2 linked regions of the Neurospora crassa OR74A genome follow. The protein of the gene in region 1 interacts with the protein of each later gene in a pairwise test. Links are inferred from orthologs where the notes say so. Each region holds a gene or a part of one and is shown in the gene's direction. Other genes may lie near its edges.

Evidence for each region. The genes of interacting proteins can lie anywhere in the genome.
Region 2: the proteins of cr-1 (region 1) and gna-3 interact in binary tests that used the Saccharomyces cerevisiae proteins (3 or more experiments, as listed by UniProt). The link is inferred for Neurospora crassa OR74A from reciprocal best matches to the Saccharomyces cerevisiae genes CYR1 and GPA2.

What each region holds. Positions count from the first base shown.
Region 1 is NC_026501.1:5,569,665-5,575,954, reverse strand, and holds the start of cr-1 (adenylate cyclase), read left to right. Parts: upstream 1-2,097; 5' UTR 2,098-2,572; coding exon 2,573-2,823; intron 2,824-3,057; coding exon 3,058-4,099; intron 4,100-4,465; exon of another isoform or gene 4,466-4,506; coding exon of another isoform or gene 4,507-4,515; intron 4,516-4,791; coding exon 4,792-6,290.
Region 2 is NC_026504.1:5,750,815-5,756,856, reverse strand, and holds gna-3 (G-protein alpha subunit), read left to right. Parts: upstream 1-2,127; 5' UTR 2,128-3,244; coding exon 3,245-3,377; intron 3,378-3,436; coding exon 3,437-3,785; intron 3,786-3,872; coding exon 3,873-4,001; intron 4,002-4,061; coding exon 4,062-4,191; intron 4,192-4,247; coding exon 4,248-4,486; intron 4,487-4,546; coding exon 4,547-4,646; 3' UTR 4,647-5,604; downstream 5,605-6,042. Other genes in the region: NCU16898 (hypothetical protein), read left to right, coding at 5,909-6,042. UniProt on the Saccharomyces cerevisiae protein: Alpha subunit of the heterotrimeric guanine nucleotide-binding protein (G protein) involved in glucose-induced cAMP signaling.

The sequences.
Region 1 (6,290 bases):
CAACTCTTCAAACCATGCCCTGCGAACGTTAGCTGTCGCGAACTATCAGCCCCATGCAAACTTCAGGCGGTCCGACTTTGTTTCTTCCAAACTCGGTAGCTGTTCCGAGTCATTGCCAACTCGTTTTACGCCGAGTTGTATTTGAGGGCATACATTTGAGCTGCTCTTTATCCAAACGGCACCTAACTTGACATCCATGTAATCTCTCACAGCTTCATACTTACCCCTACCCCTCACAGCTGTCTTCCTCTAGAAGGAACAAAAAAAGCGAGGGACTAGCGGCCTACCCTGTGCTCAAGTAGACCCATTCCGACGAACGACGCGCTCTCTGTGGCGAGACCCAGGGAGGGAACCCATTCATCGGGTTTTATCCTCAGATCGAATCACGGCATGCCAGCTCAATCGAAAAGCTCCCCCTCTCTTTGTGGAGGGAAAATCAAGTTGTCCATGAACTAGGCGTAAAGCTCCAGATCGGCTCTATTTCTTGGCTTCATGTAAGCAACCTTCCAGTTCGTTGATGAGATGAATAACATGGAAACTCGACGAAAAATGGGATGGGGGCAGATTGTGGAATTGGAGATGCAGTCCCGCTAGGTATCTACCTATCTAACGACGAAAAGCCTACATACCCTAGCTACCTAGGTATGATATTGGAACTTTAGCGTGCTTTATCCCTCGCCGGGGCACGCTCTGTTGGTTACAGGTGTAGGTTAGGTGAGTGGAAAATAGTGTAGAGGTTAACGACACCCCGTCACTACACGTGTTCGGGTAGCTAGTAGCCCCGTATCTTGAACCGCGGGCTAATGTTAAGGCAAGGTCCCTTATTTTACGGGGTAGAGACACCGAGCGACGGCGGACGCTCGCACCTCCCACGTTAATGGGGTCCGGGGACCGACCCGACCATGAAGGTACCTCCCGTCTACACAAGGTACGTACCGTGCCTGGCGACCAATTCTCATATTCAGGCCCTCGACACATTGCATGGTTCCTTGCAGCTGTTGAGATGTTAGGTTGTGTTTACAGATGCAGTTCAGAAAACAGGCGCTTTCAGTCGTTCATACTGCGACATTCACAGATTTTACATAGTAGACTACTTGGGGGGTTCTGGGCGCCAAGTAAGACATCTCAAAACAGGAACATCGTGAGCTTCAAGTTCACAAAATACCTAGAGGTACCGACAGGGTTGCGGAGCCTGAGGGAGCGGGCATACCCCCACGCGGAGCGAATTGATGCTGGCTGGCCACCCCTGCAACTGAAGTTTGCCGTTCCGAATCGATGTACCCCTACCTCTACGTACGGCTCACCGATATGCGCACCATCCGTTCGGGTGCCCTGACATTGACACCAGACACCGACTTGACATGGATACCTACCTATAATTTCGGGGTGCTTTGGCGCACAGGAACCTCTCTGATGCAAACACTGTGGCCACGGATGGGAAGCCTAAAAAGCTTCTATGTTTTGTCACCGAGATAACTCGGGCGGTCCCGCTAGTGCACTGAGATGGCAGATGGGACTGTAGGTAATACAGGCCCGAACCGGCAGCAGGTTATGCCGTGCCTCATATGTCTGCTTCGGTCGCTGAAGTATGTAAATACGTCGGCTTCAGGTGATAACTCATCATAAAATACATGTTGGAAAAACGATTGGACGCTTCTTTGAAGAGGCCCTGGCAGTCAGGTTGCATGGACTCCAGCCGAGCACCAACTCGCAGTCCTGAAAGGCTTGGGGTCCTGGAACCCAACTTGAAGAAGTTGCAGTGGCCGACAACCAGAGGGACAGTGTAAACTATCCTGATGTTCACACTTGCTCGTCAGCCCCCGTTTCCTTCTCATGTCTGCAATGGGCAATATCACCGCCCGGGGACCTTTCGGACTCAGCCCGGCTTGTTTATCTTGGGCGGCTTACACACGGGCTCAGACTGTCACACGGCTGTAGCGACTCCCGCTCGGTCAAGAAATCCGAGTGCTCTGCTCTTTTTGAGGCCCTGTACAGATTTAGCTATGGGGCCAATCGCTGCCACAGTACACTATTGTCGGAGCCCCAAATGCCGACCACTAGGGTACCTAGAGGTAGTGATGAGGACTGGACACATAATTGTCGAGTTTCTGATGGTGGGCCATCTTTGGCGCACATCTCACCCACCACCCTGGTCCGCCGTCCGCCCACCCATGTTGGTACCCGGACGCCAGTGACCTACCGCCCTACCTCCACGCCCACTCACCTGCTGGTGAACATCGACATCTGATCCATTTCCCATTCGCTGCAAATACCTAACAAGAGACGATTAGAACCACTTTGCCGGCCCAGCAAAGAGGGCAAACGCGGACCTGGACTAGCCACCCACGAGATAGCAGCTGAACACCTCAACAACACACCAGCATAACGCCAGCAACGTCTTGGGTTGTCGGGATTCAACGTCCGCATTCTTCGTCACCACAAGACACGCCCGCCATCTTAGCATCGGACAAGGCCATGACCTGAAAACACTGGCCATCCCCATCCTCACGTGGAATGGCTGTGGTCTCCTGGTAGTTGGCATCTTTGTTCCGCTCGCCTCCCGCCGGTGACAATGACGAGAAATGACGGCGGCTCCCGCTACAGCTCCATCGACAGCGCACAATCCAGCATCACGGCGAAGCCATTTCCCTTGACGCCGACCAGCAGCCTGGGCAGCTCGATGACACGGCCGCTGTCCCCGTCGCTGCAAGCGGGCAGCAGTAGCAGCAATGGCGGCCACAATGTATCTCGGTCCGCCTCACAGGGTGCGCGCAGGCCTGCGCCGACGCGTTTGAAGACGGATGACGGCACCCAATTTGCGAGGTGAGTTGAAGCGAGCGACGCAGTCTGTTGTTTCCTGGGGGCTTCGTGGTTCTCGAGCGGTTCTGTGATACGGATACCTACCCAGTCTTGCTTGCACAGTCCTGTCCTGTCACCGCAACTATCCGGAAACCCCGTTCTTCTTTGCCGTCCCTTCTCTTACAAGTCAAGCCTGTTCTTGCCCTATTTTCCTGCAGTTCAAACTAACGGGTGCATGCGTCGGCCGCCCATCTACAGCAGGTCATCGAGAGATTTCGAGTCGTCGCAGTCCCAGTCGCAGCCGTCGCATACGCAGACGCGGTCGCACTCACTGTCACAGGCCACGCTTCAATCATGTTCGCAGCCGCAGTTGTCATTGAATTCCCAGCAGTCTCAATCCCCTTCTCAGTACCACTCGCAGCAGACGCCGACACAGCAACAACCACAGCAACAAGTATCGCCCACGGGGGGCTCGCGCCTGACCCAGTCGCCCACTACACCATCCAATGCGTCTATCCGCGAACACAGAATGAGCGAGCTGGGGGGATATCGTCGTGAAATGGCGGCCATGTTGGACACCACAGGCGGCGCATTGAGCCGAACGTCATCGCACAGTCAGCAGCAGCCGCAGCAGCCGCAGCAACAACAACAACAGCAGCAGCAGCAGCAGGGTCACGCTGCAGGATCAGTTTCGGGTACCTTCAGCAACCTCAGCCAGTACGCACCGTATCTGGGGGGAAACAACGGCGGCGGGATGTCCATGGGCAGCTTCCTCAATGACTCTACGGATAATCTGTCGGTAATATCGCAGCTATCGCCGGGCATCCGGCCGATGACGGCACGGCCTTCGCAGGCGTCGGCAGGCAGCATGGAGTTTCCGGATTCGGCGTACTACGACGATGAGCGGCGGCCGTCGATTGCTTCAATCACGACGACGGCGAGCAGCCAAGGGTCGCGGACTTCCAAGACCCGGGGCGGGCTACAGAAGCTCCAGCAGTTTTTTGGCGATCGGGACGATTGGCCTGGCCGAGATTCGTCGGAAATTAGCCTGCCCCAGCCGAGTCACTCGGGCCCCATGTCCACAGGGAAGGAACACCGATCACACTCTTACAGCCTACCAGGCAGCGGTCGCTCGCACCGGGACCGCAACTACTCCAATGCCACCGATCACCATCCCTCCACCTTTGGCTCCGTCTCGACTGTCGGCGGGCGAGATAGGGATGCCTCGCCCGTGCCCTCGAGGCCGCGAACCCCAGTGCCTGCGCCCGAAGTTGTGCCGTTTCTGTACCAAGAAGCCGACGTACGTATAGCCTCGCTCTCTCTTTCTCTCTTTCTCTATTTTTGTTTTCTTTTGTAATTTACTGTTTTCGATCTTCCCTTCCCCCTCTTCGCTCTCCCCCTCCCCCCCTCTTCCCTCCCCTCTCTCGTAAAGTGTTGTGGTGGTAGCTTGGTAAGAGATACAGGAGCAGTAGTATCACTAAAGGTACCCTACGCTACTTATACCTACTAGCTACTACCCTCGCTTCGACCCCATTTCCACACCTCGCCAAATCTTATCTCTGGCCTTCTCTTTCCTATCTCCACCCCGAGCTATCCCTTTTGGGAATCGCGAATTGGATGAGTAGCAGTGGGATCAACATTGGCAATGGCCGCCGGCCGTCTCATTCTTTGCTCCAAACGCAACCCTCGTTTGACGCTTCCTGCAACATGTCGGCGGTGAGATGATCCCTCCTGCCATCTTCCGTCTTCAAGTTCACAACAACCACATTAACAAGGAGCCCAAGGCAATGGCTGCGGAATCTTTTACACAACAATGACAACGACAGCCTGCCAGTGAGGTGTCGTTGTTGCCCTGCTCCAATCCCGAGAAACCCGCTCTTTGCTGCTATCCTCCAGTCTGGACTCCTCCTGCCTGCCGTGCCTACCAATCCGTATTATACAAATTGCACGAGTGATCTCTGTCGCCGTAACTGACCATTGCATGAAACACAGGACATCGCTCGCTATGGCGAAGCACCCGTTCGAACAAGTCTCACTGGCCCCGATCGCGATCGTTACATCGACAGCTCCCAGAACCCACCAAAGACCTCGTCTTCCGCCCGGTCAGGTCACTCCATCGTGCACCTACCGGGACATCATAAACACAACAAGAGTAACGAGGATCCAAGGGCTTTGAAGCCATCGCTTAGCAGGGAGGATTCGGCAGCCAGTTTCGCTAGGGATTTTCGCAACGGTTCCAGCTCTATGATGGGCACCCGATCTCGCGCACAGAGTCCAGCGCCCAGTTGGACAGGGACGTCGCGGGGACTCAAAGCCAACAGTATTTCCGACGGAACATCATCTCCAGCTCCATCGCACAAAAAGGGCATATTGGGTCGCTTCCGCCGGCACAACAAAGACAAGGAAGATGGCTCCAGCCTTCGGAGTGGCTCAAACCACACTCTTGTACACCGCCCGTCGAGACAAGACCTTACCCGCGCCGCCGAATCCACCTACCCAGCATCCGTCTACGTTTCGGACCCTAGCGAGCAGCGAGAGGTCCCTGTCCGCCCTGGCTATGTGCGCCAGACGACGGCGCCGGGGTTCACCACGAAACTCTTTACCTCTAAGAAATCGAGCTCGGCCAAACAGCCCCAAGATGACATGGACGAGGACATTGGGCCCACTGACATGCACATGGGAGGTGGAACCGTCTATCATCTCGATACGAACCTTAATGATATGGAGGGAATTTTGACCAAGCCTCAACCCATGACCCCCTTGGACAACAGCATATCAATGCGACGCGAATCAGAAAAGATGATTGTCCCGATCACGACAGATCCGGAGGGCGCATGGGCTGCCCCGGACAGTTGGGCAGTGCGCGACAACAAAAAGTCTCTCGCCCCTCAGGTAAATGAAGACTTGTGCTCACGTCAACCTAGCGAGGAAAAGGAGAAGAAAAGCAATTATTACATTCGTGTCTTTAGGTCAGATAGCACCTGGACTACGCTCACCCTGCCCTTGACTGCGACAGCTGAGGATGTTATCATGGGTGTGGCGAAAAAGACTTATCTCCCTCCGGGTGCTCAGGACAGCTACTCTCTCCTTATCAAGAAGCACGATTTGTTCAGGGTCTTGAATAGCGCCGAACAACCCTTGAGAATCCAAAAACGACTCTTTCAGCAGATAGGTTATCAAGAAAAGGATGGCATTGACGAAATCGGTCGCGAAGATAACAGTTACATTTGTCGATGGGTCTTCCTCAAGGAGAAGGAAGCCGACATGCATTTGCTCTCACCTGACATCAACTTCAGGAACCAGAAGCTCAATCATGTTGACCTGTCTGGGCGCAACCTAATAACCATACCGGTACCATTATATCGCAAGGCAGCAGAGATTGTATCCCTTAATCTGTCCAGAAATCTGTCCTTAGATGTCCCCAGAGACTTTATACAAGCTTGCACTGCTCTTCGGGACATCAAGTACAACAACAACGAGGCGCAGGCCTT
Region 2 (6,042 bases), on another chromosome or scaffold:
GGCTGGGTCGCCTTAACGCGGACACACGTGTGAAGGTGGTACAAAGTATGTGAAAGCTCATGAAGCGGACGAAATGAACCTGGAGATGCGAAAGGGCAATCAGGGACTTCCCCGGACCGTGGAAATGAGCGAGGTGGGAGTACCCGCCAGAGGCCGCCAGAGTGAGGAGTCGAGGATGAAGACTTGAGTTTTTGTGATGGGAGAAGGGAGGAAAACCGCCGAGTACGGAGCTCCTTCTGGGAAGCAAAGAGGAGTTCAGTAATCTCCAACCGATCCACTTTTCCTTGACCTTACACCCGCCAACCGTTTCCCCAAGGAGCGGGGTGCACGGGCCATCTCAATCAACAGCGGGACTTGTCATTGGGGGACCTTGGACAGACAGCTTGGACACCATCTCGCGGCGGATATAAGTTGAAGAGCAAAAAGGTCCCATGGGGACAGTGTAGTACCGTAGGCACTGATTAATATGAGTGAGCTGACGGCGGAAAAGGCACGAAAATGGTGAGGTGCTTCAGGCAATGGGAGCAACGAGGAGAGAAACTGGAGGCTATTCGGAAAGTGGATGTTTTGCCCATCGGCTCCGTAACAAGCTGGACCAGCTGGGCCTTGGTGCCGTCCAATTGTGGCTTTTGATCGGACACTAGACGCAGATTTTCTCAAGATTGACAACCGTCGACAATCATTGCTTTGCCTGCAAACGGTCAACCGCCAAGAGAGTAAAAAGCAGCTATGAGGACGCCGGTCTTTTTGCATCCTGGTATTGATCTGCCAAGTGTTTGTAGAGAGTCAGTTGAGACATGAATGTCGTCACGGTCATGTCTGACTGTCTGTTCTCGGGGGCGGAGGCGGCGTAGGGGGCAAGGTGAAAGTTCATGATACATAAAACCCGGCGCATTGAGTTGCGAGACACGGCCGAGAACCACTCGGCGCCCCTTTACCTGCCTCAAGTCATCTTCCATGCCTGTCGCCTCGTGGCAGAGCTGAAGAAGAAAGCCCCCAAGGGAACGGACCCCAACTCAATATGTAGAGGTAGCCACAGCTAGGTACCTAGCTATGACCTGACAAGGCGAGACCCATGGTGGACACTCTTGCGTGACCCAAGAATTAGATTCGGGTATCGATCAGGAAATCAGTAATATCGCCGGGTCACAGACTGGCACGGTACGTTCGTTGTAGTCGTCCTCGTCCTCGTCGTCGTCGTCGTCGGGGTCACTGTCATGGTTCACGCTAAGGATTTAATGGGCAGTGGAGTGAGATCGGCAGTGTTCAGAGCGCAACGAAGGGGACTGGTGGTTTTTATAACCGGTGGAGCTGACTCCCGAAGATGTGGCTCCTGCACTCCTCTTCTAGCGGCTCCTTCCAGACATTGGCGCCTTTCCCCTCATCCAACGAGGAGACGAGTAGCTGTTGCCAGAATACCGTATAGGGTCTAGCGGGGCTTACGCCAGGCGGAGCTCGCTGCCCCCACTATGTCTTGGCGACACCTCGGAATTACATCCAATAACAAAAGGCCTGCCTTCCACTTTGGCCTCCAAGTATTTTCCCCAACAGCGCTGGGATTTATGTAGACACAAGGTCCTATAATAGTGTAGTGCTGTTTCATTCAGGTAATTAGCCCTGTGCTGGTGACACTCACTTGTTTAAGCAAGCGTGCGAAGTGCTAGCACAATTGCGGCTTAGCATACCTACCTCTAGTGTACCTAGGCTTTCGTCAGGAGGGCTGCACTCACTGCCCTGCCCTGAGAAGTGAAGCTGAGTGGAGGAGAGTGGTGGATCTGCCGTTCAACTGCCGCACCACCCAACAATGCTCCTCATTGGCTCCCTTGCCTCTTGGCCTCTTCAAGCCTTCCGCAGTTCCAAACCAAATGAGCCTTTCCAGCCAATCCAGCGTTTGTCGGCCGTCGCTTTGCTCACTGCAGTCACCAGTCGGTGCTACAGTACGGCTGCCTTCCATCATTACCTAGTATTTGCTTTTCCTCCTTCGTCGGTTTTCACTGCCTCATCTCCCGATTTTCGACTTTTCTTCCTTCCAGCATCCGGGCACCTCGCTGCTTCGTCTGTATCCACGCAGGGACTTCCACACTGTAAGTACCTTGCCTAGAGGTATGTACTGCAGTCTGCAGCGAACTTGAAACCCATCGATCCAAACCCGACAGCACAAGTGTCAAGGCATCCAATCCTTCCACTTTGACTGGCGTCAACTCGCTTAAAGCGGCCTGCCCTAGCAATTCACCATCGTATTGACAAAGGCGCTGGATCTGCGCATTTTAGACCGGGTAGTCGGTGACAATAACACGAACCCGGACCACTTTGCTTTACTGGCCGCCGGGCAACCTGGAACACTCGGGGATCCAGTGAGGGCATAGTGTCCAGTACAGTGACCCCAGCACCCCCCCGTTTTTTGTCGCGACCTGGGCATCCCGACCTGGGCATCCCGACCTGGGCCCCCCCATCCATCTCCTCCGTCCCGCAAAACTTAACAAAAGGTATACTGGCTGCCTGCCTGCCTGCCTGCCAATTCACCTCTACCTCACCTTTTGGCCTTACCTACCTCCCGTCCGTCAATTATTCCCGACACCACTACAACCAACCAACCAACAACCCATCTCGCCTTTCAATCCATTGCGGCGTCCGTCGATTTTCTTTGTCGCCGACCCTTTCGAAACCGTTTACCGACGGCGCGCGTGCACGCCAACCAACTGACTGTCGGAATCGGCGACTGCCAGCCAAAGAAAGACTGCCAACCAGCGAGAGAGAGAGGCGACGAACGGCTAACGATCCATCCAAACGATTCGGACTGCATCCACTCAAGACGTCACAACCAAATCCAACCACCCGTGGTCCCTGTTGTGTCGACTTACTTGGAGAGCCTCCCACCGAACACACAAGTCGCCAAAGTCAACCTTACAAAACTGCCCATCAATTGCGTCAGTCGACCAAATCATCTTGAACCCGTATTTTTCTCGTCGCCCATTTCCGGGGATTCCAGCTACAAGGAAGGCGATTGACGGACGACGACGACGAACAAGTCTGCCCCTGGTCGACAAAAGTAAAGGCCGAGGAAGGGTTATTCGAGCGACGAAGCTGAACTGCACATCACACCAAACATTCGCCAGGAAAAAAAGTCGTCTTCATGGTTTTCTAGAACAGACCCGTGAACAGACGAGCATCTTCTTATCCGCCAGGTCCAAGTTCCCGGCCATCATCGGCTGCCTCATCTAGCCACCGCAGTCGAAAGGGATTGATGATCAAGATGGGCGCATGCATGAGCAAGAACGACGAGGAGACGGAGCAGAAGAAGAGGAGCCAGAAGATCGATCGCGACCTAGAGGAGGACTCCAAGAAGCTACGGAAAGAATGCAAGATTCTACTTTTGGGTGCGTACCCCTGTTGTCCTTCGCTAAAAACGTTTTTGCTAACATGCGTGCGCGTACAGGCTCCGGCGAGAGCGGTAAATCGACCATTGTGAAGCAGATGAAGATCATACATCTCAAGGGCTATTCAGATGAGGAGCTCACAAATTACCGACCAACCGTCTACAAGAATCTGTTGGAATGCGCAAAGGCGGTTGTGAATGCTATGCACCAGTTTGATATCCAGCCAGCAGATCCGTCGCTACGGCCCTACGTCGAGTTCTTGCAGGACTACAACATGGAGGGGTGTCCACCAGGACAGTCGATAGACCCCAAAGTCGGCACAGCTATCCAGGCACTATGGAATGATCCAGCAAAGGAGCAACTCATGGAGAGGCAAACAGAGTTCTATCTTATGGACTCTGCAGAATAGTGCGTGTCCGGTTTTTTTTCTTTTTTTTTCTTTTTTTTTTTTTTTTCTTCTTCTCCATAGGAGCTCACGTTCGCTGACTTGCACAGTTTCTTCACCGAGGTCATGAGGATTGTGGCCGAAGACTACCGACCAAATGAAATGGATGTACTTCGCGCCAGAACAAAGACGACGGGTATCTACGAGACAAGATTCAAGATGGGGCAGCTCAGTATCCAGTAAGTGTGCCTGATAGACATCTGTTACCCTCGTGCCCCTCAGCTCACACAATGATCTAGCATGTTTGATGTGGGCGGGCAACGTAGTGAACGCAAGAAGTGGATTCACTGCTTCGAAAACGTCACATCCATCATCTTCTGTGTTGCCCTGAGCGAGTACGACCAAGTATTGCTCGAGGAGAGCAGTCAGGTATGTCCACCAACCACGTCACCCCCTGGTACAGAGATGGTGCTAACATGTAACAGAACCGCATGATGGAGAGTCTGCTGCTCTTCGATTCGGTCGTCAATTCACGGTGGTTTATGAGAACGAGTATCATCCTGTTTCTCAACAAGGTCGACATCTTCAAGCAGAAACTGGGGCGGTCACCTCTAGGGAACTATTTCCCGGATTATTCCGGTGGAAACGACGTCAACAAGGCCGCCAAGTATCTATTGTGGCGGTTTAACCAGGTTAACAGGGCTCACCTTAACCTATATCCTCAGTATGTCCGCTCCATCTGTCCTGTCTTGGTGTATGCACCATCATGCTAACATTGTCACAGCTTGACACAAGCCACCGATACCTCCAACATCCGTCTCGTGTTTGCTGCCGTCAAGGAAACCATTCTCAATAACGCCCTTAAAGACTCCGGTATTCTATGATGAAAGACCCTTTTTTTTCGCTCACGCATCTTCTTCCTCTTTCTCGCAACAGCGTTCGGAATATTACCAAGTCCTCCCTTCTTGCATGACTCGGCGTTTTAAAGGGGTGGTAGCTGTCCGGCTAGCCGGCTAGCAAAAGCACGGCGGTGACAGCAACGGAGGCGGCGGTTGTTGTTTCTTATCATATCTTAGGGTTCACGCGCGTTTGGAACGTTGCCAACCTGAGGTTTGCTTTTGCTTCCCATTGGTTTCTCTTTTCCATTAGCATGCATTCATCTGAGCGACAGGCAGCGCCATCAACCATACCCTACCAAACGGAACTTATTGTAATCTTGTTTACGCACCATTTTGTTTGTTTTGCGCCGACGCAGAACAGCATAGGAGCATCTTTTTTTTTTCTTCTTCACGGCGGCGACTGGATCGACTGAGCAGGTCCTTGCTTTCTCTTTTTTTTTTTGTACATTCCTTTTCAACCGCATTTACAAGAAAACGGAAGGTGGAGAAGAGACATTGTCCTCAAAAGGTGTCACTGTACTCTCATGGGGAGATGCATGGCAAAACAAGAAAGATGTCTGAGCTAGTAGAAAGCCAGGGAGTTGAAAAGGGAACATTGTTCGCCTCCCAGTGAGGTTTTGGATCCTGCATTGAAATGCGGTCCGAGGTATCCCCAGGCCCATCCAAGAGATGGGAAGGTGGGCGCAAAGAAGGAGAAGAAGCCATGATGTTCACGATTTCGTTAACTGTCTCTGGTAGTAGTGGGAGGCAGATAGAGAGAGAGAGAGAGTAGGAGACAAAACTACTGTTTGTTCGTCACAAAGAGACTCACGCAGGATACCTATCTGATGAAAGTAAAGGTCTCTTGGAACAAACAAGGGTGCTCTTTTTTTACCTTATTAATGAGATGATTATCAAGTGGAATAGAGATGCTGCATCTGAGACATACGAAAAGCGCTGGCAGTTTGCTAGCAGTAGTATCTTGGCACGTCGTCCGTCGGTATAGAATAGGAACTCGACGGACGGACGGAGAGACAGACAGACAGTTTAAAGTGGTTGAAAGCAAATAAAGAAACACATACGGCTACCTATAGCCACTGGAAAACTCGGGATCCCGTTCGCTCTCCTAATCGCGGAAGGAAGATGTGATCGCCCCGGTGGAACCGGACACGTGGAGAAGCACGGCACGGCCCCTATAAGTTGAAGATGCTACCACTCATACACCTCGCTACTCCTTCTTTTACCGTCTACCTACCTAGGTACCATACATGAAGACTACGAGATACTCGACATCACGGCAAAAATCATGCCAACCATGCTCCAACGCCAAAGCGAAATGCGATCGCAAGGCAACATCATGTAGCCGATGCACGCTACGAGGACTAGCTTGCACGTACTCGCA